2 linked regions of the Mytilus edulis genome follow. The protein of the gene in region 1 purifies or fractionates together with the protein of each later gene. This does not show direct contact. Links are inferred from orthologs where the notes say so. Each region holds a gene or a part of one and is shown on either strand. Other genes may lie near its edges.

Region 1 (16,160 bases):
ACTTTAGTCGGAAAAGCGAGACTAAGCGATCCTACATTCTGTCGTCGGCAGCGCGGCGGCAGTGGTGTCCACAAATATTTACTCTGTGGTTAAAGTTTTTTAAATTTTAATAACTTTCTTAAACTATCCTGGATTTCTACCAAACTTGGACAGAAGATTGTTTATGATCATAAGATAGTATCCAGAAGTAAATTTTGTAAAAATAAAATTCCATTTTTTCCGTATTTTTCTTTTAAATGGACTTAGATTTTCTGCCAGGAAACAACACATTCACTCTGTAGTTAAGCTTTTTAAAATTTAACTTTCTTATACTATTTTGGATTTGTACCAAACTTGGACAGAAGCTTGTTTATGATCAAAAGCTAGTATCTAGAAGGAAATTTAGTTGACATTACATTTAGTCTGCAGTTAAAAGTTTTTAAACAGTATTAGATTCATAAACTATCCTGGATTTTTACCAAACTTGGGACAGAAGCTTCTTTCAATTTAAAGATAATATCAACAGGAATATTTTATTGATTTATTATCTCATTTTTGTTTCGCCTGTGATTAACAGAAAGAGTAGGCAAGACACTGGGTTCTGCGGAACCCTTACAAATTTTTATTTAGATAAGACTGTTGGTTTTCCTGTTTGAATGGTTTTACAGTGAATTTACACTAGTCATTTTGGGGGGATTTATAGCTTACTTTTCAGGGTGAGCCAAGGCTCTGTTTTAAAGGCCATACATTGACCTATAAAGGTTTGGCACTCATAACACATCTTCTTATATCTATTTTTTTGCCACCTTTTTCACCAAAGCAGTTTTAGTTTTTGCAACTTTCAATTTTTTTTCACCAAGTAACATGAATAAATTTTTCTGTTCAGGTAAAGTCCGAGAGACCCCAAAAATAAAATAAACATGATAGATGAAATCAAATCATTCTATATATTTCTTTCCCTAAATGATGAATTTTAATTGCCAAAATTTTCATTTTTTTTGCCAAATGCGAAAAAACAGCAACAGCCAGTGGAAACCCTGCATCATATTATTTTCATTACTTTGTAATCTTATTTAGTTGGTCTGTGATTACATAATTGGAGTATGAAATCTATGTAGAAACACCGTGTTGGGGTATTTAAAGAGAAAGTAGGTATGAATTTCACTACAAATATGAAAATCTTCAATATAAAAAACAAGCATCTTTTCTGTATCCTTATCCAATAACAAAACGTTAACCCTGTTAGTAAACAACTGATAGACAGAGTGACGACTATACTATCGTCATCACATCCTTGCATTATGCACATTTTTTTTTAGTCTTTTTTTTATTCTTCTTTAAAAGATACCTACCTGATGTGCATCTAAGTCAATAATCATAGCTTTAGCTACACCCTCAACACGCTCAAACAGGAACTTTAATGATAATGTGATGTCCGCATATGCACAAAACCCTCCTCCTTTCTCAGCATGGCAATGATGAAATCCTCCGCCTATATTGATGGCCCATCCTCTTTCCATTGCTAATTTGCCAGCCTGTAAAAATTGTTTTAAAACATTTTTTCTCGTGTATTTCTACTTAATTTCATATGTTAATAATTTAATAAATGCAAGTTGAAATTAAACTAAAATTAAAATAAAGAGCTGTATCCAGACATACAACCAATTTGAGAAACTTTTGTATGTATGTTTTTTATAAAAAAAAAATGTATCTCCATACAGTGATTAAAGTGAGATTCAGTAAGTATTTATATATAGATATTTCGGAAATGTTTCATGAAAACTAAATAAAATTGTTTTTATTACTGTCAGAGACTATAGTTCATTCATAAATGTATTTATTTGGATGGAGAGTTGTCTCATATGCACTCATACCACATCTTCCTATATCTATTAAGATTATTCAACACCAGGCTTTTATAACATTTTAATAATGTAAATTTAGTAAGATAAAGATGGTTTCTTTTTAAAATAAGCTAACAATACATACCAATATAGTACCTCCTGTGTGATATCTGAAAGGTCGTAAGACTTTTCGTTGTACAATGAAATTAGGTAACAAAGCCACAGGTGGCACCTCTGTTATCTGAGCCACATTTAAACTCCACTGAAATTAACAAAACATGCCTTACTCTGTTATCAAGTGTTTTTATTTATATTAATATTCCATATAACCTTTTTTGTTCTATTCAAAATGTGGTTGCTTACAATGACAAAGAAGGTTGATTGAATAAATTTTATAAATAAATAAATCTAACTTAAATTTCATCACTCTTCTGACTACTGTAAAGAGCTAAGGCAAAAAATATCTTTATACCTCTGTTATGATTAACAAGCCACAAACCAACACATACAAGTAAATACATACCATTGATTGTAGTTGTGGATTAAAACAAATGCATTTTATCCAAAATGTTTATGAAACTGACAAATACATTTAAAGATGATAACCCTTTTTTCAGAATTGTATATTCATGTTTATATATTCATTTATCAATTTAACTATAAGATGAAAATTCAAATCTGTTATCTGTGCAATTCTCCCCGTCTCTTTCTAGAATTCCTTGAGGTCCCAGTGCTTGTATCTAATTTATCTATATATTAAAGACATGCTTCTTCCCCTACTTTTCAACAATTATATTATACAGATCTTCAATGTGAAAAGAAGTTAATAGGCAATATAATTACACCATCAAACATTTAACATAGAAGAAAAGATGACCTATGCATTGAAATGTCTTTCAGGGTCAATTTCGGGGTGTAATACACCAACTGTACAAAAAACTTTTTATCATAGGGCTAGACTTTCTTAACATGCATGTATACCTATCACAGTGAATGCAGGAAATATATAAAGGAACAGTTCTTTTTTTTTATTATGGTTTTCCCTAATAAATTAATTACATTTACATGCAAGAGTAGAATGGAGAGTGAATTTCTTATTTATAGAACTTATAACCAGAATTGTTCATGGTAGTTTTTGAACAAACAGTTTTATTTCATTCTTTTATTATTTTCATACAGATGTTTTGAAAGTGTTTACCCTCAAAAAACAAATTTTAGCAGATAAGCTGTCATCATGAAAATACATCAAACACCATGAAGAAATTTAATTGGTATAAAGCATAAAGGTTAAATAAATTTCTAATTTCGATTTCATTTTATTTCTTTTCAATTGTTCAAATTTTAGTGGTTGCAAACATGATACAATATTGAATTACAAGGAGTCTTGGTGTTAATTTTACGTGAAATACTGGTTTATAAAAATATATTCAAATAGTAAAACTTCAAATAAATTTACTCATAAAAATAGACTTTAAACAATTTCAAATTTGGTTGTTTTTTTTTTTATTTACTGTGATCATGTGTAACTGTGTTGTGTTACTACATTTCAAAGATTCTAGATTTTGACATTTTCAGTTTTTAGCCCTTAGTGTATTATGCAGAATAAATAATGACCCATAAATGTATCTTTCCAAACACCTTATCATAACTACCATCAACTAAATATTATAACTTCCAATTTTCCTGCAAAATTGCTCAAAACCAATGATAAATGACCATAAATTAACAGGCAACATAATAACACTGTTTTCTGTGTTTGATAAAAAAAAATGTAGGTAGAGAATGTATGCTCATATGTGGAAGGAAATTAAAAAAAAATATGACAGTCAACCTATGCTAACATTTTATAAAGAATATGCAAATGGGTATGGTTACTATGGTAGGAAGTTAAAGTGAAATGTGTACAATAATCAGGTACTAACAACATGCATTTAACATACTGACTGAGTACAATAATAGCTTATTTGTGTGTTTCTTTTATTTAAAAAATATTGATGCTATACATATTGTAAATGGCGGTACATAGATTATGCAAGTTAACATTCAACCTTGCTAATATAAATCCCTTTTATTCAAATCAAGACTGTGAAATTTGATGTCTGTATAGGTGCAAGGACATGTGACACATAAGCATGCAACAAAAACTGTGTACAATATAATACCTCATCAATCCCCTCCACGAAATCTGATAGCTACATAACGAAGCAGAAAAACTACTTGAGCAAAACAATTTAGTATGTTAAAAAGTAAAATAGAGCCTGTCTCAATGATTCATGGAATTGGGTTAGTAATATTTTGAAATATATAAAACTGGTACATAAGATGAAAAAACTTTATTATGAGAAGTCATTTTCTTTGTTTCAAAACATTCAATTATTTCAGTCTTAGAGTATATAACTTTTGGTTAAAAATACTGAAAAAAAGACAATTCAAAGATTTTTTTTACATAAAACAATAAAAACTATAGCTAGTGCATATAAAAGGATGTTAAAATTGTTTTAAATATCAAAGCATGCTTTTAAAAATCTGAGACAGCATCTATCATCACATGTTAAACAATATATCTATAAATGTTAGTAAAAGTGAAGTACAAAAGTTGTTAATTACATGTTAGAAAAACATACCAAAGAGGGTACTGATGAGTAACTAGGACATTATGATATATATTGTCTAAGAAAATGTACAACATTAATTACTCTAAGTTAATCATGTAACATCATTAAAAGCATTTTTCATATTATGAAAAAAAAGTTAATATGAAATAAAAGAATTGTGTTTTCTAAACAAATGATACATAAAATAATCAAAATATAACATATGCATGATATGGTTTCTTAGCAGTCCCATTACCATGCACTGTAATTTAGTATCTTGGTTATTTTTTTACCAATTCAGTTTCACTGGAAAAGTCTTTTCATATGACTCCAACATGAATATTGTTTTGACAAAAACACTGTCATTTGAATAAGTTAACACAAGAGAAGAAGAAAATAAACTGAATAACTTGTGTGTTATGTAATTAATAATATATATAATTGGCCAGATATGAACAAATTGCATAATGTGCTCGGAATTAATCATATTGAATGAAAAAAGATCCATATTATAACCACCATCCTTTAAAGCTGAAAAATGAAAAGAGAACTAGGATTATATCTTACTTTCAGATCTTTGAGGTATTGTGCAGTATGGACAACCAATAAATCTGTTTGCGTAGCTTCTTTTGGCTTTACTATGGTCTTCTCTTGAATCAACTTAGCCTCTGAAAATATTTATTATGTATCAATAAGTAAAAAAAACTGGATAAGAAACATTAATCAAAGTGCTTGTTAGCACTGTAGATAAGAAACATTAATCAAAGTGCTTGTTAGCACTGTGGATAAGAAACATTAATCAAAGTGCTTGTTAGCACTGTGGATAAGAAACATTAATCAAAGTGCTTGTTAGCACTGTGGATAAGAAACATTAATCAAAGTGCTTGTTAGCACTGAAAGGGTAAAGATTGCTTTCATATTGCAATTTCATGAATTCAAAAGAAAACATTGAATTGTAAATAGCTCAGCAAATTATAAATTTGAGTTGAGCCTATTTTTGTAACAGATTCATACGCCATGCAATAAATTATAAAATATTCAATAGAGAAAAGTCTTCTTGACAAGTACAATAATTAAAATTCCCATTATGTTGTAACTTGAATGTCTGATTACATCATATCATTAATAAATTGCTTGATATTGACTGAATAAGATATAAAGAATGATCTCTTCACTGCACTATTTTGTTTGAAACCATCAAATGTAGTGAAAAACAATGGAAGATTTTTAAAATATCAAGTCAGTACATGTACAATAGGGTTTTGATCGCATTTTATGCATTCTTTACACAAGAAGTCACTCAGATCAAACATTAAAATAGCAGGTGCAATATTGATAATTATACAATGAAAAGTGAAAAAAATAGGTCTACCAGTACCTTTTAGGAATTCATAAACCTTTCCCCATTTCCCAGCATCAAAGGGATGAAGTTTTTCTAGACCAAGAAATCCAATGTTGTATTCAGGTGTATATATTATAGGCCATTGTGTTTCTGCAATCTTAATGTACAGCTCTGTTGACTGAGGTGCAGAACTGCAAAATATAAATTCAATCATTTATTCAATCATTTATTCTATCATATTAATCTCTTAAAATGAATGTATAGCATTAAATTTGATTTTTTAATTTCATGACTGTATTATGTACTGCAGTGTTACTGTCTTATAATCATGATAATAACTATGTGTAATCTTTAATAGGAATTTTATATCTTTACTTTCAATATTTTTCTTTCAGCATGTTCAGTATTTTAAGCAAAAAGGTTAAAATAAAGAAGGTGCTGTCCATAATCATGATAATATTGACTTAAAAACATTCTTTGGGGTTTCTGCATGGTTTTTTCTGTTCAACTTGATGTGTATTTGAGGTATTGGATAATTGTAATGCATGTTTTAAGCAGTTGAGTATCTTGCATGATCATTGTGTTTTTTATTGTGTGTTAGTGATAAAAGAAACTCATAGTTTTCCCTTTGATTGAAATTGCTACTAATTTTCTTATGATCAAATGACAGCTTGCATTGGGTAATGGAAAAAAAAGATCATTTATGCATACTAAGAATTTTTTGTCAATATTATATCAATTATTATCAGATACCAAATCACCAACTAAATGCTAAATTGACTATCAATTCAGTGTTCCAGCTAGGTTTTCAAAAGGGCAGGGTGCCAATCCTGAAAAAGGGCATTTAAAGCGCGATATGATAATATGAAAAGGGCATATTTTAATAAAAGATGATAATCAAACATTTGTGTTTATTCGTTGAATCACAGGTTATACAAGAACAACATCTTTAGCCCATATAGAACTCTATCTTTCTACTTTTAAGGCTGAACCAGATGCTCCGCAGGGCGTAGCTTTATACGACCGCAGAGGTTGAACCCTGAACGGTTGGGGCAAGTATGGACACAACATTCAAGCTGGATTCAGCTCTAAATTTGGATTGTGATTAAATAGTTGACACATCATAGGTTTCTGACACAGAATGAATGTGTTCTAATGAACTTAAAATTTTTGTTTTCTCTTAGAGCAATTCACTATGCTGTTGAATATTAATCCTCTCAAAAAAATGTTTGAAGAAATTTTCTTTTTTATTTATGAAATTTCAAATGAGAAAAATTGAACCCAATTTTTTTAATCACATCCCCCTTTCCCTTATTCCAAAACTAATCTCAATTAAAATTTCTAATGGAGTTTGCAACAATAACTACTCATTTAAATACATCATAAAATATTAAGATGTAAAAAAACTGCTTGTTATCACTGAATGGTAAAGATTATTTTAATTTATCAGTTGGTAGTAAAAAGTGAATATACATTGTATATTGTATATAACAAAGATTTAAGTTGATTCTGGACAAAGAAAGATAACTCCAATTAAAAAAAAATCTTGCTATTGCACAATATTTTGCAATTAGATATTTCTTGCTTACTATTCTGGACAAAGAAAGATAACTCTAATTAAAAAAAATTTTGCTATTTCACAATATTGTGCAATTAGATATTTCTTGCCATTGCGCAATACTTTGCAATTGAAAAGACTTGCTATTCTAACGTTATGGTGCGAAAACCAAGAAAAATGCTTATTTGGGTCCCTTTTTGGCCCCTAATTCCTAAACTGTTGAAACCAAAACTCCCAAAATCAATCCCAACCGTTCTTTTGTGGTCATAAACCTTGTGTCAAAATTTCATAGATTTCTATTAACTTTAACTAAAGTTATAGTGCGAAAAACCAAGAAAATGCTTATTTGGGCCCTTTTTGGCCCCTAATTCCTAAAATGTTGGGACCAAAACTCCCAAAATCAATACCAACCTTCCTTTTGTGGTCATAAACCTTGTGTTAAAATTTCATAGATTTCCATTCACTTTTACTAAAGTTAGAGTGCGAAAACTAAAAGTATTCGGACGACGACGACGACGACGACGACGACGCCAACCTGATAGCAATATACGACGAAAATTTTTTCAAATTTTGCGGTCGTATAAAAACTTGTCAAGCAGCTTGTCACACAAGTTTTTTTATCATTGCTTGGCACAGTTGAACTTTATATGCAGTATGTTTTGAAAGGAGATCTGTTTCATACTGTTTCTATGGTCTACCACATTTTACCAGTTTCACCTTTCTACCCCTGCTGTGCTTGATGGCAATACAGCACAAAACAGCTGTGCTCAGTAAATTCACAATTTTAGGATATAAAGCAACAGTGAAAAATAGTATCAAAAATAAAGAATACAGAATAGATGACCAAGGCACCCTACCAACACTGCTACTAAGACCCTCTTTAACTTTTCCCATAACTCAAAATAAATACCTAAACATATATATTCTTAAGCAAGAAGTATGGAGACACATTTTAGAATATGTAAATGGGTTACTCAATGCTAGGAAAAAAATCAGATTGAGTTATCTTTCTTTATTCGGGTGTGCTCCTTCTTTGGAGGATTATAAACAGTACGTAAATATGATGTAAATATGATCACAATATGGCGGCCGATTTTGTTATTTTCGTATCAAAAATGAAGGCAGTCAATGACAAATACGTCTGAATTTTCTGTTTATTTTACAGAAAACAAGTAAAACAATGTCTTCAACGAGTTTATAATGGTTTTCCAACTTTCTGTCATTACGTTTCTTCCATGAAACTACGGTAAACATCGCAAATTGTGCCCAAGTTGTTGTATGCACATTTCTTCAAAGATAATTGCCGACTGACCGATTCTATTTGAACGAATTAATGTTGATGATCATTAATGACCCATCCGATAAACGGATTACCTATATAAACAACAGATTATGACACCAGTTGTAACCATTGATTAGCTTGGGGTGGTAAACAAAGTCATAATCTTTTCCCCAGGTAAAATTTAGTAATTAGCGTATCATATCAATACGCAAATTAATATGCAATCGATCTTCAAAAAAGGCAGGGTGCCCTGGAAACTGTAAAAAGGGCACATGGCGCCACTCGGAAAAGGGCGGGCGCCGTGCCCTCTGAAAACGGCCTATCTGGAACACTGTAGGTGCTGATTTAACAAGATGCTGCTCATTTAACCAGATCCAGACTAGACTTTTTCTTAATAGGAGCTGAACTTATTTGTAACCCATTAGATTAGATTAGATTTTATGGGCGCAGCCATTTTATGAGCATAACATGGTATTCAGAATTAAAAGAATGGCTTATCCTGATTGGTCGATATGTGCGCCCGTTATTTTTTATTTTTAAAGACTTCGTGCACTCTGCTTTATACAAAAGGCAAAATAAAAATTATTCTGTAGCCCTAACGGCACTGAGATGACTTTTTAACGCTAGGACATGACACGTATTTTTAAGGGCAAAATTGATAGGCATGGGAGATAAGTACAAAATACGCTAAGAAAAGCAACGCGAACCTATATTTTTGGGACCAAAAAATACTGTCCTAATAACTTTTCTTTGATTCTAGCAAGGTTTCGTTAAAAAAATCATTTTTCTAATGCTGTATCTCGAAAAAGGCTACCATTGTCGCCTATGGGGAAATTAATTGTTTATTTCAATCTTCAACATAGAAAAGTAAGAGACTGGGCCATTTTTGCTTGAAACAAGTACCTATATAAAATACATGTTTTAAGTCACTGCCACTGTCAAGGCACTTGTTATTACTAATATATTAGAATACTATAATTTCAAGCATTTAGGAATCATTCAGGGGACTATTCTGTAGTTGGTTGAATTGCTTCCGTCTGTGGGCCAACCAACTCTGACATCGACATATTAATTAGGCTGAGGACAGACTCGAAACACTTTGTAGTTTTTTCTTGTAGCAAGCATGTATTTGTCTTTCTTTTTTTTAATTGTATAAGAGTCTAGTCTAACATTTCTTTCTGGATATTGTTATCTTCGTTTGTTGTCATTCTGCATGTTTACGGAAGTAAAAATTAATAAATGCAAATAAGGATAAGAAAGATTTTAAAATTTTAATTGAAATAAGCTGATTGGAAACATAGCAAATAACACGTATTTTAATTGACCAAAATACTCAAATAAAATAAAAAAATGAATGAAGTACTGAAAATATCTTTTCACTAATGGTGTGTTATTTAATATGTTTATCCCAATGTAAAAAAAAGTAAGAAAAATGCTGTCATTTATTCAAAATGTTAAAACTTAATTAAACCAATCACATCTTACGTTATAAGCGTCTGTCGGCTACGAAAGGAAAATGGCGGAAAACTAAAATTTTGAGCACACAGTCTAATCATAATTTGTTACAGAAGTGTTCAGAGGTGTCAATATAGTCTGTTAAAATGACATCTGTAAAAGGTAAAAATAATGATCAAATCAAGAGCAGGTATATAAGCATATGTGACCTGAATGATAATTAAAACAAATATTTGCAATGAAACAAGAGTCAGTTCAAATTATGGTTCGGCCTTGGTCGTTTCGGACTTGTCATCCATCCATCAGCACATTGATGACTTAACACGTACCTCGGCGCATCTCAAACAGACACTTAATAAAATAGAACAATTTATGAATGCAATAATTGAATTATATTGTGCACAAAGATAACACAGTTTTATATTTACAAACAGGTTGGATATCTCGGTCTTAGCAACAAGAAGCGACACTAAGAATAATTTAGCGACAAGAAGACTATTTAAGGACAAGATTTATTTCTTTTTAATTAGAGAATTACTTATTCCAAATAAATATTAAAAGAATATGCAAAAAAAAACAATTTTAGCAACAAGCATGACATGAAAGTTTATATTCTATCAATAAATTTTTTTTGAAACATAGACAGTGATTGGGAAGGACGTGCGCCCTGTGCCTATAGCGCATATTGACAAGAAATGGCGCATACAGTGACACACGTAAGCGCCCACGTGGCGCACAATATTTTTCACTTCGTTTCGAAACATTTAGATATCGTGTTCCGTGCCGCCATGTGTGTGTACATAACTGTGTAATGTTCCTCCAATAATAGGAGCACCTATATATTTTTGGGACGTCTCGGGTGTTTCCCTTTGATAATAGAACCATGCGATTTAACGTCTCGGGTGTTTTCCTATTGTAATAATACTAGAACCATGCGGTCTAACTGATAACCCGAAAAACGTAATTAACCATCATTCATGATATATTTTTTTTTATAAACAACTTTAAATTTGTGAAATTTGGCTAGTACAGACGAGATTTAACACATATAATAATTTCATTTAGTTTAGCTCGATATTATTTCGATTGAAGAACCCAAAGACTTTTTAGGAATATAGTTTTTGTCTCCATAAAAGACGCTTAACTGTCCTTGTCATTTTTTGGTCTTTGGCTCGTTCTGACATTTTGTAAACATGACTTCAGCGATTTGTTGTTTTGTTCTATGAATTAATGGTACTCTATACTGTTATTCTTGTCACCGTGTTGAAGTTATAATAATACAAGAAGTGCAGAGGAAATGCCTGAAATGTCCTCTGATACGGAACGTCTGGAATAAGTATGGTATTGACGAAGACCCAAATTTAATGTACGAAAAAAACCAAAAAACATGAACATGAGCAAGGCAACAGTACCAGTTTAAACATTGCAACAGTGTTTTCCTTTTTTCACTAAGGTAAGGTGGGTGTTTTAAAAAAATAACTTGCAACCGGCTGTTTTTTTTTTAAATGTCCAACCTTTTTTAATTTACTGTGGGTGCACGTGGGGGTCACAGAAATAAAGATGAGTATAATATTCACATTTAATGGAGTTGAACAAACATAAATAGAAGTAGTCATATTAATTGTCAAATATTCTTTGATTTTATTTTTTCAAAAATTTATCTCTTCTTTCATTTACAATTTTATGCATCAGCATGGATTTAAGGCCGTTCGATCCAGGTTTCTGATCTGTTTCTTGCTTTTGTGCCGTATTTTTGGCACACAGAACAGTAGTATCCTTCCTTTGTGACTATAAGTCATTTGAAGTCTTGCTCATATTTGTCTTCACTTGCGTGTCTTTTCCGTTGTTTGGTTGATTTAATTTTTGTTCAATTTCCACAACTTCAACATTACTATCAATTTTATTTAACTTATTTGGTCTAGTATTTTCTTTATCATCATCGTCATCTGCCTTTTTTTTCCCCCGATTGATTAATGAATACATTGAAATTTGACGATTGGACTCCATCTTTGTCAATGAAAACAAGGCGGGATAAGTATTCAAATTTTAACGGTACAAAACCGAAAAAAATCCGGATTTTGAAAAAAAAAAGCCGACCACCTCCTAAAATCGAAAGGTGGTCGGCTTTCAAAAGAAGGTGGTCGGCAAACCCGGCTTAAATGCCGAATGGAAAACACTGTGCAAATAAAGGTTAACTTGAATATTGTTGGGGTTGGAAGAAGAATTGTATATTCATTGAAATTGAAATTACAAAATCACAGGAACAATACCCATGATTTTATTTAAAATCATAAAGGTAAGTACCAACATGACCAACACCTCTTTGCCAAAATATACTGATACTTTTTTTTACAGAAGTCAATTCAAATGGCCCACTCATTTGACAACATGGCCCATTGTTTTTTTAAATGGCCCATTGAATTTATTTTTGAGGAGCCCTGGGCCCATAGTGAAAAAAACCTTCCAGATCACTGCATAGATCTAATTGCTATTTATATTTGTTGAATTATGAAATATGAAGAACTGAAATCAAACAAATAGTTTTCAACATTTTAATTTGTGTATTGCCTCATTTAATGATATTTATCAAGCATAGTTTAATGTTGATTGAAGATTAAAGTCATAATAAACGAGTGACAGGTGAAAAATAATGTTATTCCAATTCTTGAACCAATGCATACAAACATCATAAACTTAGTCTTCTGTGCACGATTCTATAATTTTTTTCGCATAATATTCATATAATCGTCAATTTTTTTTCAATCGGTCAGTGTTGTTGTGAATATATGGCAGGTAATTAAAGTTTGTGTTTTGAAGCTGAAGTTTAATGATTGTCACCTGTTTGTCAACAATCAACAAAAAAAGCATGGATATTGATCACGTGTTTAACATGTTTAATAACATGTACAATCAGATAATAGTTTATTTTAAGGACATCCATGCGTATTGCGATCACCGGATTTTCACTAGATGGGTCACACGGAGGTCACTTTGCATACAGAAATTATGTCGGGGGGGAATTGTTTCGTGGAAGGAAAGGAAGCAATTAAAATAAAGTAAACTTCTTCTTAATATGAACAAATTAAAGAATTTTCTTCAGAAAAAAGTTATATGAACATAAGTTTTATAATGAAAAATATCCATTGAGATATATAAAAAAACATATGCATTATTTTTTTTAATTTGAAGTTTTTTATGACTTTAAAGGAAGTTAATGACAATCTTGAGTTTTTATACGCCCGTCGTCTTTTAGACGGGACGTATTATGGTATACCGTTGTCCGTCCGTCTGTCCGTCCGTCAGTCCGTCCGTCGTCAACACTTCGGACAATAACTCAAAAACGCTTTCACCAATTTCCATGAAACTTAAGTGAATTGTTAATATCTATTGACGTAAGCTCCCTTTCGTTTTTTTTTAATTTCAGATTTTAAGTTTTGGATTTATGGGGCTTTATTCATAAAAAAGGGGGGATTTTCAACACTTCGGCCAATAACTCAAAAAGGCTTTCACCAATGTCCATGAAACTTTGGTGAATTGTTTATATCTATTGGTGTAAGCTCCCTTTCAATTTTTATAAATTTCAGATTTTAAGTTTTGGATTTATGGGGCTTTATTCATAAAAAAAGGGGGATTTTCAACACTTCGGCCAATAACTCAAAAAGGCTTTCACCAATGTCCATGAAACTTTGGTGAATTGTTTATATCTATTGATGTAAGCTCCCTTTCAATTTTTATAAATTTTAGATTTTAAGTTTTGGATTTATGGGGCTTTATTCATAAAAAAAAGGGGGATTTTCAACACTTCGGACAATAACTTAAAAAGGCTTTCACCAATGTCCATGAAACTTTGGTGAATTGTTTATATCTATTGATGTAAGCTCCCTTTCAATTTTTATAAATTTCAGATTTTAAGTTTTGGATTTATGGGGCTTTATTCATAAAAAAAAGGGGGATTTTCAACACTTCGGACAATAACTCAAAAAGGCTTTCACCAATGTCCATGAAACTTTGGTGAATTGTTTATATCTATTGATGTAAGCTCCCTTTCAATTTTTATAAATTTCAGATTTTACATTTCCGTGTTATGAATTTTTATGCTTAAAAAAGGGGGGATTTTCCAATTTTGGGACAATAACTAACACTTTCACAAAATTTTATGCAACTTTAATAAATTGTTTATATCTATTGACATAAGCTCCCTTTCCATTTTTATAAATTTTAGATTTTACGTTTTCTTAAGTAATGAATTTTTATACTTTAAAAAGGGGAATTTTATGAAACTTTGGTGAATATATTAATGTAACATCCCTTTTGATTTGTATATATATTTCTAGTTGATCATATAAATTCATTTAAAGCATAAAAGACAAGTTAAAAGAGCAACGGGCGTATCATGCGCTAAAGCGCAGCCCTTTATTAACAGGTGTTCTCTATTTACAATGATTGTATATTTTGGCACGTGTAATTGGATAGTCTAACACGTGTACGAAGTTGAAGGTGTTAATTGGATGTTATTGTAGCAATAAACCAAGGGGCTGAAAACAGTACATTTATTTATCTTTAACATATTCTTTATATTTAATAAAAAAAAATACACAATCCCTTTCTTCCTCACAAATGTCTGATTTCTTCATCTATCAATATAATAATAAAAAATATTATCAATTCATTTGTGCCCATATATTAAAAAAATTAAATGCATAGTTTTTAATATTTATTTAAATAAGTAATCTTAATAAAAAAAAAATGTTTTTTTGTCGCTAAATAGTCTTCTTGTTGCTTCTTGTCCCTAAAATTATTCTTCTTGTCGCTTCTTGTCGCTAATTAGTGAGACCCGGATATCTAAATATGCTGACTTTGGTTCATGGCCAAAACTTCTGGAAAGCTTTGCAATATCATTTGAATATTTGCATAACAAATCATTTGTTTTCCAAAGTTTATTTGAATAAAAAAAAAAATCTACTTGATTGTCTATATATTGTCCTGATAAATAAAAGGTGCGCTTGGACATTCAGGCTGACATTGTTTGAAAATTTTCCCCCTTATTAATTAAAATGTGTCAGATATTTGAACTGACATTATTACAGCATACTCTGTCTGACATTTCAAATCTTTATTGGTCAAGTGATTCAAACTCACACGTTTCAAGAATATGCATTACTTAACTTATACACTTTTCAAGAATATGCATTACTTAACTTATACACTTTTCAAGAATATGCATTACTTAACGTATACACTTTTCAAGAATATGCATTACTTAACCTATACACTTTTCAAGAATATGCATTACTTAACTTATACCCTTTTCAAGATAAAATTGAGAATGGAAATGGGGAATGTGTCAAAGAGACAACAACCCGACCAAGTAAAAAACAACAGCAGAGGGTCACCAATAGGTCTTCAATGTAGCAAGAAATTCCCGCACCCGGAGGCGTCCTTCAGCTGGCCCCTAAACAAATATATAATAGTCCAGTGATAATGAACGCCATACTAATTTCCAAATTGTACACATGAAACTAAAATTAAAATAATACAAGACTAACAAAGGCCAGAGGCTCCTGACTTGGGACAGGTGCAAAAATGCGGCGGGGTTAAACATGTTTGTGAGATCTCAACCCTCCCCCTATACCTCTAACCAATGTAGAAAAGTAAACTCATAACAATACGCACATTAAAATTCAGTTCAAGAGAAGTCCGAGTCTGATGTCAGAAGATGTAACCAAAGAAAATAAACAAAATGACAATTATACATAAATAACAACAGACTACTAGCAGTTAACTGACATGCCAGCTCCAGACTTCAATTAAACTGACTGAAAGATTATGATTTCATCATATGAACATCAGGCACAATCCTTCCCGTTAGGGGTTTAGTATCATACCATCATAACATATATGACAGTCTGCACGGTTAGCCACTAGTCCGATGCCTCAGACTAGTAAAATTTCATTCGGACTAGTAAGTATTTGCAAAACTTTCTTTGGACCAATAAGAAAAATGTCAGAATATTGGTCTTCGGACTAGTAGTTGAAAAAGTTTTTGGTGTAGACTGATATGAGAAGAACATAACCCGTGTCATGCCAACAACTGTTTTTAGAATAA
Region 2 (15,977 bases), on another chromosome or scaffold:
TCTCATGTTTGTATTACTATTTTTCTGATGCTTGTATTACCATTTTTCTCATGTCTGGTGATAACTACTACTTACTTTTGACAATTGTGTAGAAATAAGTGTAATATTTTAGGTTCCTTGAAGAATAAATCTCATGTAATTTGACTGTAATTGCTTAATAAGACTTTCCTTAAAAAGTAGGCGTGTTTAACATGCCTTGACCGATAACTTTAACAAGTTATAGGTTAAGGTATAATTATGACAGAGCATTCATCCATTGACAGATTTAAGATTTTATTTGGTAACTCCTTGGTTTTATTTTCTTAGTTTGACTAGTTTATGTAGCTTCTTCTTACATGGTACATCAATTTTGATTTTGAATAGATTTTTGGTGTTTTAACACCACTTTTAAGCACCACATTTAGGCTATTTCGTGACATCCAATTTTTATTGGTGGAGGAAGTCAGAGTGCCTGGAGAAAACCACGACCTTCGATAGGAAAACTGACAATCCTAGTCAATTTTAAGATTTGAGTTGAGTGCACCCGCACGAGTGGGGTTCGAACTCACAACTTCAGTGTTGACTGGCTAGTGATTACAGTGGTAAATACTTAGACCACTCGGCCACCAAGGCCCCCATCAATTTAGAAAGATTTGCATTATGATTTTATAAATTTATATAGCATTCAGTGTGGCAAGGTTTTTTTTCTAAATATAGGAAATGAACCAGATGCTGATATAGGACCACTCATTTCACCTGAATCTAAGAATAGAGTTTGTGAATTGGTCCAGAGTGGTGTTGATGAAGGAGCACAACTGTTGTTAGATGGTAGAGATATTACAGTCAAAGGTTATGAACAAGGAAACTTTGTTGGACCTACCGTTTTGCACTATGTCAAGGTAAAACACCATCTAGACAATGGTACTCTGTAAACTAACTCAATTTTCCATATTAGCAAGTGGGGAAGATGTGGAGGAAAATAGTCAAAATTAAACTTGGATTGTCTTTACTATATAATGAATACACAGAAAATAAGAAAATATTGATTTGAAATTGCCAGACAAAGGTTAAAAATGTAAAAATGAATCTGCAATAATAAGTTGGTTAGCATTATGCATAACATAGATACATGTACTGACTAATAAAATATGATAATAAATTATATACAGTACATTTTTCATCGAAAATATAAATCGTTTAGAATTTGAAGGCTCTCTATTCTTTTAACTTCTTGAGTGATAATTGCTTAACATTCAAGATTCTTTTCCATGCTAAGTTAAAGTCGTATTGATAATTTGTAATAAATCAATATTTGGGGAAGGTGGTGGTTTCAATGTTGTTGAGCACTTGCACGAAATATATGTTCAAATATTCTTTTTCATGGATAAATCTATCAGAGTTTGTAATATATTTAGAATGCATTGCATCCTTTTTACTAGAAGATCTTTCAATTATTAGCTACTCAAAGGAATACAAGTTGAAAACCATTTCTGTGTTCTGTATATCTGAAATTATGACTAACTTGTGACATTTCAATTTGTCAACTTTGCTCATTCTTTGCAAAATGAAACAAAAGTTCTCTTAATGATAAAAAAAAATAACAAATATAAACGCTATTGTTATAATTAGCATAAAATTATTAATATTCGAAATTCTTTGAAAAATGTGTAATGATTGTATTTTCACAGCCTGAAATGAAATGTTACACAGAGGAAATATTTGGTCCAGTGTTGGTCAGTATGGAGGTTGAAACTTTAGATGATGCCATTAATATGATTAATGCTAATCCCTATGGAAATGGAACAGCAATCTTTACTAACAATGGCGCCACAGCCAGAAAGTTTACAATGGATACTGATGTTGGACAGGTATGTATTTGATTGGATGAAATTGTTATGCCCAACCTACAATAGTAGAGGGGCATTATAGTTTTAGGTCAGTGCATCCATTCGTTGTCTGTCCCACTTCATGTTAAAGTTTTTGGTCAAGGTAGTTTTTGATAAAGTTGAAGTCAGCTTGAAGAAACTTAGTACTCATGTTCCCAATGGTATGATCTTTCTGATTTTAATGCCTAATTAGAGTTTTGACCTCGATTTCAAGGTCCATTCAACATTGATAATGATAGTGTGAGTGGGGCATCTGTTTATTATGGACACATTCTTGTTTCAATATCATTTTGATCATACTATGGTTAAAGCAGTGAGGTAAAGTAAAAAAAAACCAGTTAAAGTATAATTATTCTATATTGTCGAGTAAATTTCTGATCAGAGATGTGAAAGAAAGACTAAGTATATTATATAACATTTTTTTGGGTCAATTGATGACCTTTTAACATCATTCAGAGTGAAGAAGTTTTGTATTTTTCATTGCTATTAAAACATTCTTGGGTTGTTTCAAGATAGAGAAATATTAACACTTGTTTTGTTTTATTTTCAGTACTCTAAGAGATGTAATATGTTCCCGAGTTGAATAATTTAAATAATTTCAAAAAGGTTATGTGATTTAGATTGAAGATTGTGTGCTCAAGCCATTGAAAACCTATATCATTTGTTTCAGGGATACAAATAAACAAAAAAATGAACACCTCTGCTGTGATGCCCTATTTAGTGAAAATATTGAAGAACTTAGAAACAAATATTTGCAATTAAGATAATTTATCATAAATGATTCATCACTATTGCTTTGTTATATATTTTGTGTATATTTTACTGTAACAATACTAATTATCTAGCATATTACAATAAACTGGTATGCTGTCCAAAATTGATAATCTATTTCTCAACAGTAAAGAAGACTAAGAAAGACATAAGGTTTCCTATATATAATTCAACTTGGTAATTTTATGCTCTGTCCTTTATTTTAATATCTTTTTATAAACAGGTTGGAGTGAATGTACCTATCCCAGTGCCTTTACCTATGTTCTCCTTCACTGGTTCTAGAGGATCATTCAAGGGTGACCAAAACTTCTATGGAAAAGCTGTAAGTATTATACATATCTCATTTATAGCAATAACTATTAATGACTCTTATTGGTTTGGAATCAGTTACCATCATGAATATTGATAGTAACAAATACAGTATTGTGTAATGATCTTTGCATAATATTTATGGGTAGGAGGATCATTTACCTTCACTTTTGAATCAAACCACAAAATGTTTTAAAATTTGAAATTTACATTTGTTTTTGAATTTGAAAAAAAAAAGAAATCTTTAGCAAGCTTCAATAGTTATTTCCTTTCTCTGAAAAAAGCAATTTTGCCCAAATCTAGAATGTTGTGTGTATATTTCGACGATGAGTGAACAAAACAGAAATTTAAATATTTTTTTTTAATCAGATCAAACAGAACAAGAGAGTTTACAAATTTCTTCTTAGAACAAGAATACTTTGAAATGCAGAAAATCATAAAATAGGAAAATGTTGTATGCATATAATTGAAATGTAAAATCAGAACAAAATTTTTATATTGAAAAAAAAAACTGGCTAATTTTTATCCAAATAATTTTCATGTAACTGCTTATAGCATTGTTCACTTACAATGCCTTTTGTTTGTATAATAAAGTTATAGTAAAACACATAACATATCTTTTACAGGGAGTAAACTTTTACACACAGTTAAAAACAGTCACACAGATGTGGAGATCAGATGATGCAGATTTATCGTCCAAAGCTAGTCCATACGCCATGCCAATCATGAAATAAACAAACAAACATTGCATAATATTTAATTTGGGAATTTGGTAAACTGTTATAATCAGATATGCATAGATGTGGCATTGATGAATTAGAAAATTTAAGTTGATGGTAGTATTTTCAGACTTGCTCACTTGAACAAAATTTCTTGTTTTTGAAGTGCTATTAATATATACATTTTTATATGTATTTTATTGAGATTTATACAAGTGATAAGCATTTGCATTTTGTATATTTATCAGATTATACAGAATTGTTATGGAATTTATATGATACTTTTAAATCATTTATTTTATAAAATGATGAACGAAATATTTATACACATTCACATTTGTAAATAAACCACTTATAAAGAATGATATCATGTCTCTTTTTCATTTTCTAAGATGCTGGAGTACTGATTAATTATATAGTTTTATTACTCAAAAAAGTCATACACTATGATGAACCATATTTTATCATAAATATAAAACGCCATGAATATGTCAAACTCTGATCTTCTCTGATGTGAAATAAGGAAAACTGTGAAATTAAATTACTTCTCAGTATACTGGAAAGGGGATATATAGCCTTCAATTGAGAATGGAAATAAGGAATGTGTCAAAGAGACAACAACCCTACCAAAGAGCAGAAACAGCCAAAGGCCACCATTGGATCTACAATACAGCAAGAAATTCCTGCACCCAGAGGCAGGCTTCAGCTGGCCCTTTAAACAACAATATGTACTAGTACTAGTGAAATGGATGTCACATTAAACTCTGAAACATATAAATCAACTAAAAAAACAAACCAGACAAGACTAAGGCTCCTGACTTGGAACGGGTGCAAAAATGCAAAAAAAAATCATATTGGAGAATTTTACTGTGTGACACATTTACAGATATCTCACTTTTTACTTCCTGTTTGGCCTACACATGTATGTTTTTCCATTGACAATGGTTGATGCATGTATATGAAGTTTTCATCACATAATTTCAAACAACTACAAACCTGTGCTTCTTGGTAATTTGTTCACCAAGCTTCATATTGGTAGGCTGTAATGTGTCATTATGTGTGACTCACTTATACATCTGCAGATATGAATAAGGGGAGATGTTCAAGTACAAAATGTATATATCAGACAACAATCCAATTAAAAAAAAGACATTTAGAGAGTAACAAATTGTCTTCAACATTAAAAGGTGTCTACAATACTTCAAGCCATAAACCATCCAACATGTGAATAAATATGACTAACACTCTAAGACCTGACATCAATACCCAATTCTCCAAATAGAAAAAAAGTATTAGTATATGATATACTTCTACTGACAAGGTTCCTGACTTGGGACAGGCACATACAAATGTAGGTTCTTGGCATGGGTGCATATTTAAAAAGAAATACAAACTGTAAATCTGTGTTTAATTCTTAAATCGTTGTAAGTGCTACTTGATAATGAAGTATACATGTAATTTTATTATTGCACCATATGGGATTATAGAGAGGATGCATATGCCTGCCAAATGACTTGATTTCAGCAGTAATGGTCCAGGGTATTTCCACTTGTCTTAAATTTCTATCAAACAAACTGAAATTTCAGTCTTATTTTAGTTATACATGTATATTAAGTCATGTAGTTCAGATCATGTCTGAAATACAGCCCTTTTTTATGCCCCATTTATGGGCATTATGTTTTCTGGTCTATGCGTCTGTTCGTTTGTTCGTTAATTCGTTCCTTCGTCTGTCCCGCTTCAAATTATAGTTTTTGGTCAAGGTAGATTTTGATGAAGATGAAGTCCAATCAACTTGAAACTTGGTACACAGGTTCCCTATGATATGATCTTTCTAATTTTAATGCCAAATTAAGAGTTTTTACCTCATTTTCACGGTCCACTGAACATAGAAAATGAGTTTGGATGGGGCATCCATGTACTTTGGACACATTCTTGTTTCATTGAGAGTTAGTTTAATTAAACTGTTCTTTGTTTTAAATGATGGGTTAACAGGAGTTTAATAGTAAGACAATATTTTATGGAAAGGAGATAACTTACTGACTAGCTCATTTGGATGTAAAAGGAATCAAATCTTTAAGAAGACACCTAAAGACAACAAAGTTTTCATACCTCTGATTGCAATCACACGAACAAGAACAGTGAACAGCAATTTAGATATACATGGATGGATGTTGATCAGATAATTTAAATGACCATTATAAGTTTTACAGAATACCAAAGATATACCAGTCACCAGATTTTAGCTTTAAAGGAACATAATACCCTTAAAATATTTTGCACTACATTTTGTGGTGGCCACTTTTATTGATGGAGGGAGCTGGAGTGCCTAGTAAATAATGATCCTTTTGTGATTATTGGTGAAATGAAATAAGATTTGGGCAAGAACATTGCCAATTTCATAACAAATGTTTGGCTTTCAAATTTGCATCCATTGATGCCACCCAGCATCTCTGAAAAATTAACACTCAAGTATTGCTGCAAATATGAAGTTTTCACAAAAGGCCTAAATTATGATGAATTGTTCAAATATCTCCTCTTTTTGAACAACTGGGTCAATTTGAACCAATATCTAACCTGAATTAAGTAATGTGTCAAGTTACTTACGTTGGTAGATATAATTTTAAATTACCATTACTCTTGTCTGATGTAAATTCTAATAAAGAAATGATACCAAATATAAATACAAATACAAAAATTAAATAAACAACATATACAGAGACATATATACCAGTACATTGGTAGTTCACACATAATATTTTTAAAGTTGTATCATTATTAAAGATTTCACAAGATAAAATTTTCTTATACTTTGCCAAACCTTGAATTTATCATATGATTTTGCAAAATATAATAAAATTTTGAGTCACTGTGCTATTTTTGAAACTACAAGAAGGATTTTTCATGAAATAAATCTATTAGAAAGAATAAAGAAATGAAATATGAAAAGATATGCTTTTTAAAATGGTTTTAGAAAATAAAAAGAATAAATGGTGTCACCAAACTTGTGTTCTTAATAGTGCTAAAATAAAGAAAAAAAATATTTTCATTCCTACATTGTATATCAAAATTTTACTACAAGAGTGATCTCCACTTATATTGTAACCGGAGAGCATGTACTCTACAAATATGTTCTAAGGGAAGCAATCCTGTCACAATATGACAAAGTTGAAAAGTAGAATCTAACAAAAAACAAATTTTCAGTATTTGTAAAAACAAACTTAATTAATACAACAAATCACTTATTTATCTTTATTCAATTGAACTGTCTCAACATTTGCAGATTTTATCATTATCCAATAAAGAATTTCTTGTAAGTTAGATTACATGGCTGTATTTTAATCCTGTGTGTAAGGTGTAATGACAAATTTCATTTAATAATAAGGGATTTCATAGATTTAATTTTAGATAGGATTGTATGTGATTTATCGACCGTTGTCAGTTATTTTATTTTATTGGTTTTAGTCTAGGTTAGTTTACAAATCCGTCACCGATTTTGACTCTAATATTACTATTTTCTGCAAAAATGACAACAAATGCGGGTAAATTGAAAGTCAAAAACAATACATTTGTCATAATGAATACATGTTAACATTATCCATTTAAGGAAAATATTATATGAATCATTACTGCATTATAAATCTTTATATCTGTTCTACACAAAACTCTCACAGCGCCCATAAACATAAGTCTTAGACTTATAAGAGCTTGTCTTCAGGGAAAACGGTACTATTTATTCTGCCATAGGCGACAATATTAACATTTTCTAAATTTACAACTTTTTAAGATAAAAACTTGGATAAAACAGTTATATGTTGTGTTAGTACTTTATTATTGTGTTTTAAAAATTAAAGCCAAATAGTATCATGACCAACTTCCAACGGAGCTTGTTTATGTTATCCATGCCCACCGTCATTTTGCACCAAATTTATGAAATTTTGCAAGTCTTTTCAAATAATTCTCTAGAAAATATTTCAATAGGTTTCAAAATTTATGTTGTAAATATACACACTGCAGTTATTCATAGATAAATAAAAAATATATTGTACCCTTACATCCAATCACAGCGCTGCTAATTTGACTTCCTTCACCTGCCTTGGGTACACAAAAGGCCAACCTAATGCTGGGAAAATTAAATACTACCGTTTTCCCTATACTGTGACATAAAGATATAAAGAATTCTTATGACATTATGATTGCAATACTGGGCTATTGTGAAAACCTTGGCTATAATAAATACTTGTATGTTCCCAGTACTTAAAGAAACATAGATCATTTTATGTCCCCACCCCCACATGCTGGTTTGCCTCATTTTCTACTTCTTTCAGAAAAGCCTAAATAAACAACCTGTATCCAATCATATCTTATCTTATTCAAACAGAATGATAAATAGTTCCATTTAAACAGATAAAATGGACAGTTCCATTCAATTTGTATTCATTTTATCAAAAATTTACAACAAATGCACAAATTCAAGATTTTTCATACTAATCTCCATTCCATGCTTTAGTATATGCCATATTGTGGTTAAAAATTTCAGAGCTTGTTATAAAATCTACTATTCTGTCTTGAGATGATGAAAACAAAGATATTAGACACTTTAAACATTAAATATGCAAAATACTCAGCTGTAAAGTTGCATTTGTTGCCTGTATTAATCAATGAAAAAGCTGAATTATATCCCTTGGGAGTATTAATTTCCACCAAAAGTCCATTCAAACAGTAGGAAATGAAAAATTATTAATGTCTGATATAATAAAAGAAAGAAACTACAAAATGAAGCACTTTTGAAATATTTGCTGCATGAATTATCAAGAATGTGAACAATTCTTTACACAGGAGAGCATAAATTCTATGTAAATTTAGCCTCAAGTGGGCCTCTTTTTTTCTTAGATGAACAATTCTAACACTGAAAATGCTTCCAATGTGACCAAATATTGCCTAATTCCATAAACAGTACAAACTAAACCAGACAATTTCCCATTTTAATAGATAATGTTTACAGAAATACCCAAGTGATACATTTAGGGAATTACGCAGCAAAAAAGGCAAACATTTCAGTAAAAAATATTTGTCGCGACTTGAATTCTGGTGTTTCCAATTGAAAAAATCATTGCGAAAGGTGAAATCAAATACAAAAGAACTATAATATGGTGCATTTTACACAATATAGTTAGTATTGACATCCTAGAATAAAGTTTTATATCATTACCAATCAATTTGACCTATCGTGATGACTCAGCACTTTTCTCAACACAGTATTGTTCTCAGTGAAAAATTTCTATTCTTTGGGATAAAAATCAAATGTACTAATCAAAAGCTTCAAAATAGTATAAAAGAATTGAAGTCTTAGTGACTTTGATTTCCCTTGCTATCTTCAGTATAGGGAAAACGGTACTATTTATTCTGCCATAGGCGACAATATTAACATTTTCTAAATTTACAACTTTTTAAGATAAAAACTTGGATAAAACAGTTATATGTTGTGTTAGTACTTTATTATTGTGTTTTAAAAATTAAAGCCAAATAGTATCATGACCAACTTCCAACGGAGCTTGTTTATGTTATCCATGCCCACCGTCATTTTGCACCAAATTTATGAAATTTTGCAAGTCTTTTCAAATAATTCTCTAGAAAATATTTCAATAGGTTTCAAAATTTATGTTGTAAATATACACACTGCAGTTATTCATAGATAAATAAAAAATATATTGTACCCTTACATCCAATCACAGCGCTGCTAATTTGACTTCCTTCACCTGCCTTGGGTACACAAAAGGCCAACCTAATGCTGGGAAAATTAAATACTACCGTTTTCCCTTCAGCTGTTACCAACACAGGAGTTTGAAATCCTATCAATAAGGGGGTAAAAATATACCAAAGTCGACTATCACAGTAGAGCTTCTCTCGAATTTACCCCTCGACTTTGGTATATTTTTACCCCCTTATTGATAGGATTTCAAACTCCTGTGTTCCCAATCAGTTTTTGCAGTTCACGCCAAACTTCTTCTTCTTCCTTTATAGAACAGTCCATGTGGGAACAACAAATTATATGCGGGGAAGTGCCAAATAACTAAAGTGAATAGTAGTCCGAGATTAATCTGACGTCCAACAACTGTTTTGTCTGACAAGCTGGGGCCGTTCACATTGGACGACAGAGTAATCTCGGACTAAGTGAAAAGGTGCTTTTTAAAATATAGTCTGATATTACACTGTCCAGACAAGCTGGGGTCCAACAGAGTAATCTCGGACAACTTAAAACAATGTTTAAACAAGGTTGAACATCTATCCAAGCTGAACAACTTGCAAACCCCTTGTAAATGATTAAAGGGCTGTGCAGCTTCTAGTTGTTGTTGCAGTCCATTCCAGATTCTGATGGTGTCTGGGAAAAAATAGTATTGATATTATACTTGCATTGAGTTTTGGCAAAAGGAATAAGGACTCTTTATTTATGTCCTTGCCATGTTGATTTTACAGGCTGTAAATTTCTATATGGATGGTATGGCAATACTCTATAAAATTTTATAGATATCCAAAAGTTTTGAAAACCTTTGCAGTTTTACTCTCATATATCCTCGTATTATGGGTTTTTGTGCTATTACATGTAAGAACCAATTGTGACATGAGTGACGTCACAATTTCCATTGAAAAAGCATTTGTAGTACGAATTCATAAACATGTAACATACATTGTATCATATGGTCTGACCAAAAGTGAAACAGCTACCATGTTTGTAATTACTTTAAGTACAATGACAATAAGTTGAATAACTGATGTAATCTTTTATTATGATTATTTTTGTGACACACGTCTGACCAAAAATTAAATCATATTAGATTTATTCATTATGTTTAAGTTTGTAAAAGTGCATACAATACAGTCAACATTGTACAATATAGACAATATTTTATTAGCACAAACACATTTACATTAAATGGTTATGGCATACAAAATCAAGACAATAAACTGACAATAGTAATATTGATTATAATTATATTAGAGTGACAGTGATATTCACAGGGAAGGAAAAAAAGACTATAAATATCAACAGTTAACACATTATTAATGTTCATGAACAATCAAAAAAAGAACACAAACAAAAAATAGGTTGCATATTAAAAGAAATACAAGTTATACAGATGTTTTCAATATAAATACAAGTTGTACATGTTGTATATAAAAAAAGAAGATGTGGTATGATTGCCAATGAGACAACTATCCACAAAAGACCAAAATGACACAGACATTAACAACTATAGGTCACCGTACGGCCTTCAACAATGAGCAAACCCATACCGCATAGTCGGCTATAAATGGCCCCGATAAGACAATATAAAACAATTCAAACGAGAAAACTAACGGCCTTATTTATACAAAAAAAATGAACCAAAAACAAATATGTAACACATAAACAAACGACAACTACTGAATTACAGGCTCCTGACTTGGGACAGGCACATTCCTAGCATTTTCATTTTCATTGATAAAAATCTGCCTCTTTACAATATTGCTATAATATTTTAACTGTAAAGTGGTCTATTGCCACAAATTCAGCATGATAAGATGTGTGATGATTAGATATTTACTTCTTATCAGAGTTGTTAAGCTGGTCTACCTGATAACTGATTTAACTGTCCTCTGTTTTCCTTGTTAGTCTGTTTACTTATCTTTAGGGAAATTTGTCCCTCATCTAATTACACAATAATATAGGACCCCTGAAAAATCTGCTTTTGATTGTTTGCTGTGTCTTCAGAGTCATGCAGTATGTTTATTTAAACCTATAAAAAAAGAAGATCTGGCAAGATCGCCAATGAGATAACTCTTCACAAGAGACCAAAATGACACAGCAATTAACAACTATAGGTCACCGTACAGCCTTCAACAATGAGCAAAGCCCATACTGCATAGTCAGCTATAAAAGGCCCTGAAAAGACAATGTAAAACAATTCAAACAAGAAAACTAATGGCCTTATGTATGTACAAAAATGAACGAAAACAAAAATGTAACACATAAACTAATAACATGCTTGTTGTGAAGCTGAATGTAGAGATGAAAGCAGGCTGCCGAGGAAAATCAAATTACACAATTATTGCTGACTTGACCTGTCCCTATTGTCAAATTTGTGTAACTTTGTTGACCTTATCAGACATGTCAGATACTCTAAATATAGAAAAAAGTAGTTTGTTGATTATTTTTGAATCAATAAAGATATAATTGGTCCTCAATGCTCTTCAACTTCGTACTTTATTTGGCCTTTTAAACCTATTTTGTATTCGAGCGTCACTGATGAGTCTTTTGTAGACGAAATGCGTGTCTGGCGTATATACTAAATTTAGTCCTGGTATCTATGATGAGTTTATTTACAACCACTGGGTCGATGCCACTGCTGGTGGAGATTTATTTCTCCGAGGGTATCCGACTATCACAAGGCCAGGTGTCAGCACTTTTTGTGCTGACATGAATTTTATTGATATGGTTATATTTATAAATTTACTGTTTACAAATTTTTTAATTTTTTGAAATACTACAGCTTTTCTACCTCAGGCATAGATTACCTTAGCTGTATTTGGCAAACTTTTAGGAATTTTGGTCCTCAATGCTCTTCAACTTCGTACTTTATTTGGCCTTTTAAACTTTTTTGTTTTCGAGCGTCAGTGATGAGTCTTTTGTAGAGGAAACGTGCGTCTGGCGTATATACTTAATTTAGTCCTGGTATCTATGATGAGTTTTTTATATTCAGTAAGGCTTTTTCTCATCTGTCAAAACTGAACACTATTTTAACTATGACCTATGTACACACAGTAACCGTGTAATACAGATCACTAAAATATTTCAAATGAGATATTAGTAATTCATTATAAATAAATATGAAAAAATTTAGGAGACTTTTTTTTATAGTTATTAATAAATTATATAACAATGCTATTTAGTTCAGAATAATTTGATAAAAAGACTTTGTTTCAAAAAGTCGAAGTTAGTTTGTGTGTCATCTTAAATGCAGTAAAACAATCAATTGTATAACAATACCCCAAAAGTTGATGTAAGTGGAATCAGAAAACTTACTCTTAACTCTTCACTTAATGTTGTTTTCCGGTTCAGGTTCATCATGGTTTCTTTTCACCAGACTCAATTATTCTTTTTTTTTCTAGGAAACACAGCTGCATTTGTTTAGCATCCCTTTTACATAATTTTTTCTACACTTATGTTTTTTTGAAGAAATAAATTCAATGTAGCTTCCTTCCAAAAGTTGGCAAGTTTAGTAACAAATACGTACAAAAGTAAAATATCATATTATGGAAATAGGTCAGATACAATATTTTAATAACTTTCATTTAATTTTTTGTTATGAATTTTTATCCGTATGAATCAACATCTCTGAAGAAGTTGACCACTTAAACATGTTAAAGACTTAGAGGAACAGTTGAATATTTTCTTAAATTCTTACTCAAAGCAAAGTATTTCATTTTATTTTTAGAAACAGAAGAGCCAGATCTTATGAGCTTTGAGAAGTTGGACAGAGCATCACCCGATCTTTGGCCAGAACAAAGTAAGTTTTTAGCACTATAAAAATAGCCAACTGGAACAACTGGTTGCATTGACATTCATCAGAAAGTACTCTTAAACTGCAATTGTGCAACAGATGTTGAATTTTTTTTAGCAGCAACATGGTATATCTGAACAAGTTTTTAGAAGAATGACAATTTTATATTATTAAAGATATAGAATATTAATAGATTTTTCTCTTTTCTCCTTTTTTATATTGATTAGGCCATTGGTTTTCCAGTTTGAATGGTTTTACACTAATCATTTTGGGGATCTTTTATAGCTTGCTGTTTGGTGAGAGCCAAGACTCTGTGTTGAAGGTCCTACTTTCACCTATGATGGGTGTTGTTGTCTTTGTTATCGTTTTATTTCACCTATAATTGTTTAACCATACAAATTGTGACTTGGCTAGAGAGTTGTCTTATTGGCATTCATACAACATCTTCTTATATTTATGGAAATATGAAATGCTTGATTTTTATTCTTTCAGTTCCTGGTGTATCAGAATTTGCAGCTGCTAAAAGTGTAAGTAATTACAGTGTTGGTAAAACATTTTCACTGTATATGTGTACATGTATATGAGTGAATTATATACAAAATGCAAAAGAGGCCAGATTAATTTGATTGTTCTGTGTTATAATCCCATCTATGATAGTACTGTAGGGGATTGGGTTCTTCATTTCTATTTTTCAATGTTAAAGCTATTGGGTGTAATACCACCATTGATTTTTCCCTATTAGTCTTTGTTAAATTGGCACTTTTAAAAAAATCGTACAGTATTTACCTTTATTTCAACCAAAGAAATACTTTGCATGTGTAAAGTTCAATCCTTTCCAGTGATACAGTGAAAATTTCACACTACATTTCATTGCATATAAGAAAGTAACCACCGCCGAGGGTAGACAACCCAATTTTTACACTGTTATTTACTGGTTACCTGCTTTGGTAACTATGTAACCTTAACGTTCCAAAATATTTTATAAGACCATCAAATAAAAAAAGAATGATGCTTTCAGACACTCAACATACATATTTACGACTCAGAAAAATTTAAGTGCATTGAAATGCAGGGTTAATTTTCTACAACTGTCAAATTCAAGGGAATATTTTTTTAGGCCTACTTTCATATGCAACCGGATGTGACGTACCATGATTTGGTGGTATTACACCTAAAGAACACCTAAATGTCAAATAAACCTAATTCAATTTTTTCCCCTCCAATTGCAAGTTATTTCAAGCATAACTGTCAAGTTTTGTCTCAGTCAGAACTATAGTTTCAGAGAAAATCACTATAATGTAAGGCCATATCCTACGGCAATTTCAGTCCAATTTCTTCGAAAAATCCTAATTTCAGTGTATCATTATAAAATGCAGTGTTGACTAATATCTGATCATAAACTCATGATATATGCATTCAAACAATTAAATAGAATACAAAAGACAACTTTAAGATGATAAACAATTTTGTTGCACCTTTTAGAGTTCATTTGAAGGTCTGTTTTGGTCCATTTTTCCTCCTTCCTTCCTTTTTCATCAAAACTTGATATCTTTTGTCTAAAAAATAAAACAAATGTGATTATTTTCCCACAAAAATGAAATAAATGTAATGTTAAATCAATAATTAAAGTGTTTTAGCTGAAAGAACTGTCTCTATAAATGTTAACAGTCTACACGAAAGTTTCTATAAGCCCTTATGTGTAACTTGAGTTTTTGGTCTGTTCCCCTAGTGTGAGAAATAATGGTTCCCTTTCAGTCAATCATTTATTGCTACTGGTATCAAAGTCTTTTTATTTACTCATAACAGTATATTTCTAATAGATTTACACAAAAAGTCCACTTTCTTGTATTTTACATTAGAAAATGGGGAGAAAGAGTAATAAAAAAATACCTCAAAATGTTTTTAAAAAGGGTTATGTCCCTTGGAATGCTGGTACAAAAAATAATTGGTAAGAATTATAAAGTTTAAGTATGTGAGACTGGATTCTGATGTGTATAAATCCAGGACAAATGAGTGTTTAGATGAGTTATTGTCTGTGCAAAATGTAGACGGCACAATGGCAAATTGTAAACTTTTGCGGCCAAAACAAAAAAAAACATGATGATAGTTGATACATACTTTAATGCTGAAGTGTCATCTGCAGACCAATTCACACATAAGAGTTTTCAACAGAATGCTCTTCAGAACATGGTTAACACTGAAATAAAAAATTCACATGTTGTACAGTAATCTAAATACAGCTTCGTCTGTCCACCCATTTGACTAAGAAAACACCCGTAAACCCCCATTTCAATGCAATTTTACCTCAAACGTACTTTCTGTGTCTAAATCCATTTCGAATAGTCCATGTTTACAATGTATGAACTGGTTTATTAATAACTTTTAAAAATGAAAGTACAATAGGGTCACGAGTGCACATTTAGTTTCCCTAAATAGGTGTAATACCACCATTGATTTTTCCCTATTAGTCTTTGTTAAATTGGCACTTTTAAAAAAATCGTACAGTATTTACCTTTATTTCAACCAAAGAAATACTTTGCATGTGTAAAGTTCAATCCTTTCCAGTGATACAGTGAAAATTTCACACTACATTTCATTGCATATAAGAAAGTAACCACCGCCGAGGGTAGACAACCCAATTTTTACACTGTTATTTACTGGTTACCTGCTTTGGTAACTATGTAACCTTAACGTTCCAAAATATTTTATAAGACCATCAAATAAAAAAAGAATGATGCTTTCAGACACTCAACATACATATTTACGACTCAGAA

The links.
Region 2: the proteins of protein lin-37 homolog (region 1) and protein lin-52 homolog purify together in Homo sapiens (affinity purification with mass spectrometry; 6 studies listed by BioGRID and IntAct, counting the BioPlex papers as one, with this or other methods). This does not show direct contact. The link is inferred for Mytilus edulis from reciprocal best matches to the Homo sapiens genes LIN37 and LIN52.

Annotation. Positions count from the first base shown.
Region 1 is NC_092344.1:36,879,519-36,895,678, reverse strand, and holds the start of protein lin-37 homolog, read left to right. Parts: upstream 1-10,089; 5' UTR 10,090-10,200; coding exon 10,201-10,216; intron 10,217-16,160. Other genes in the region: histone deacetylase 11-like, read right to left, coding at 1,332-1,514, 1,969-2,085, 3,986-4,015, 4,985-5,085, 5,796-5,950, 9,770-9,807.
Region 2 is NC_092346.1:42,564,035-42,580,011, forward strand, and holds the start of protein lin-52 homolog, read left to right. Parts: upstream 1-7,157; 5' UTR 7,158-7,187; coding exon 7,188-7,203; intron 7,204-13,137; coding exon 13,138-13,209; intron 13,210-13,695; coding exon 13,696-13,730; intron 13,731-14,678; exon of another isoform or gene 14,679-14,759; intron 14,760-15,321; exon of another isoform or gene 15,322-15,400; intron 15,401-15,715; exon of another isoform or gene 15,716-15,977. Other genes in the region: probable methylmalonate-semialdehyde/malonate-semialdehyde dehydrogenase [acylating], mitochondrial, read left to right, coding at 697-878, 1,668-1,847, 2,860-2,958, 3,572-3,679.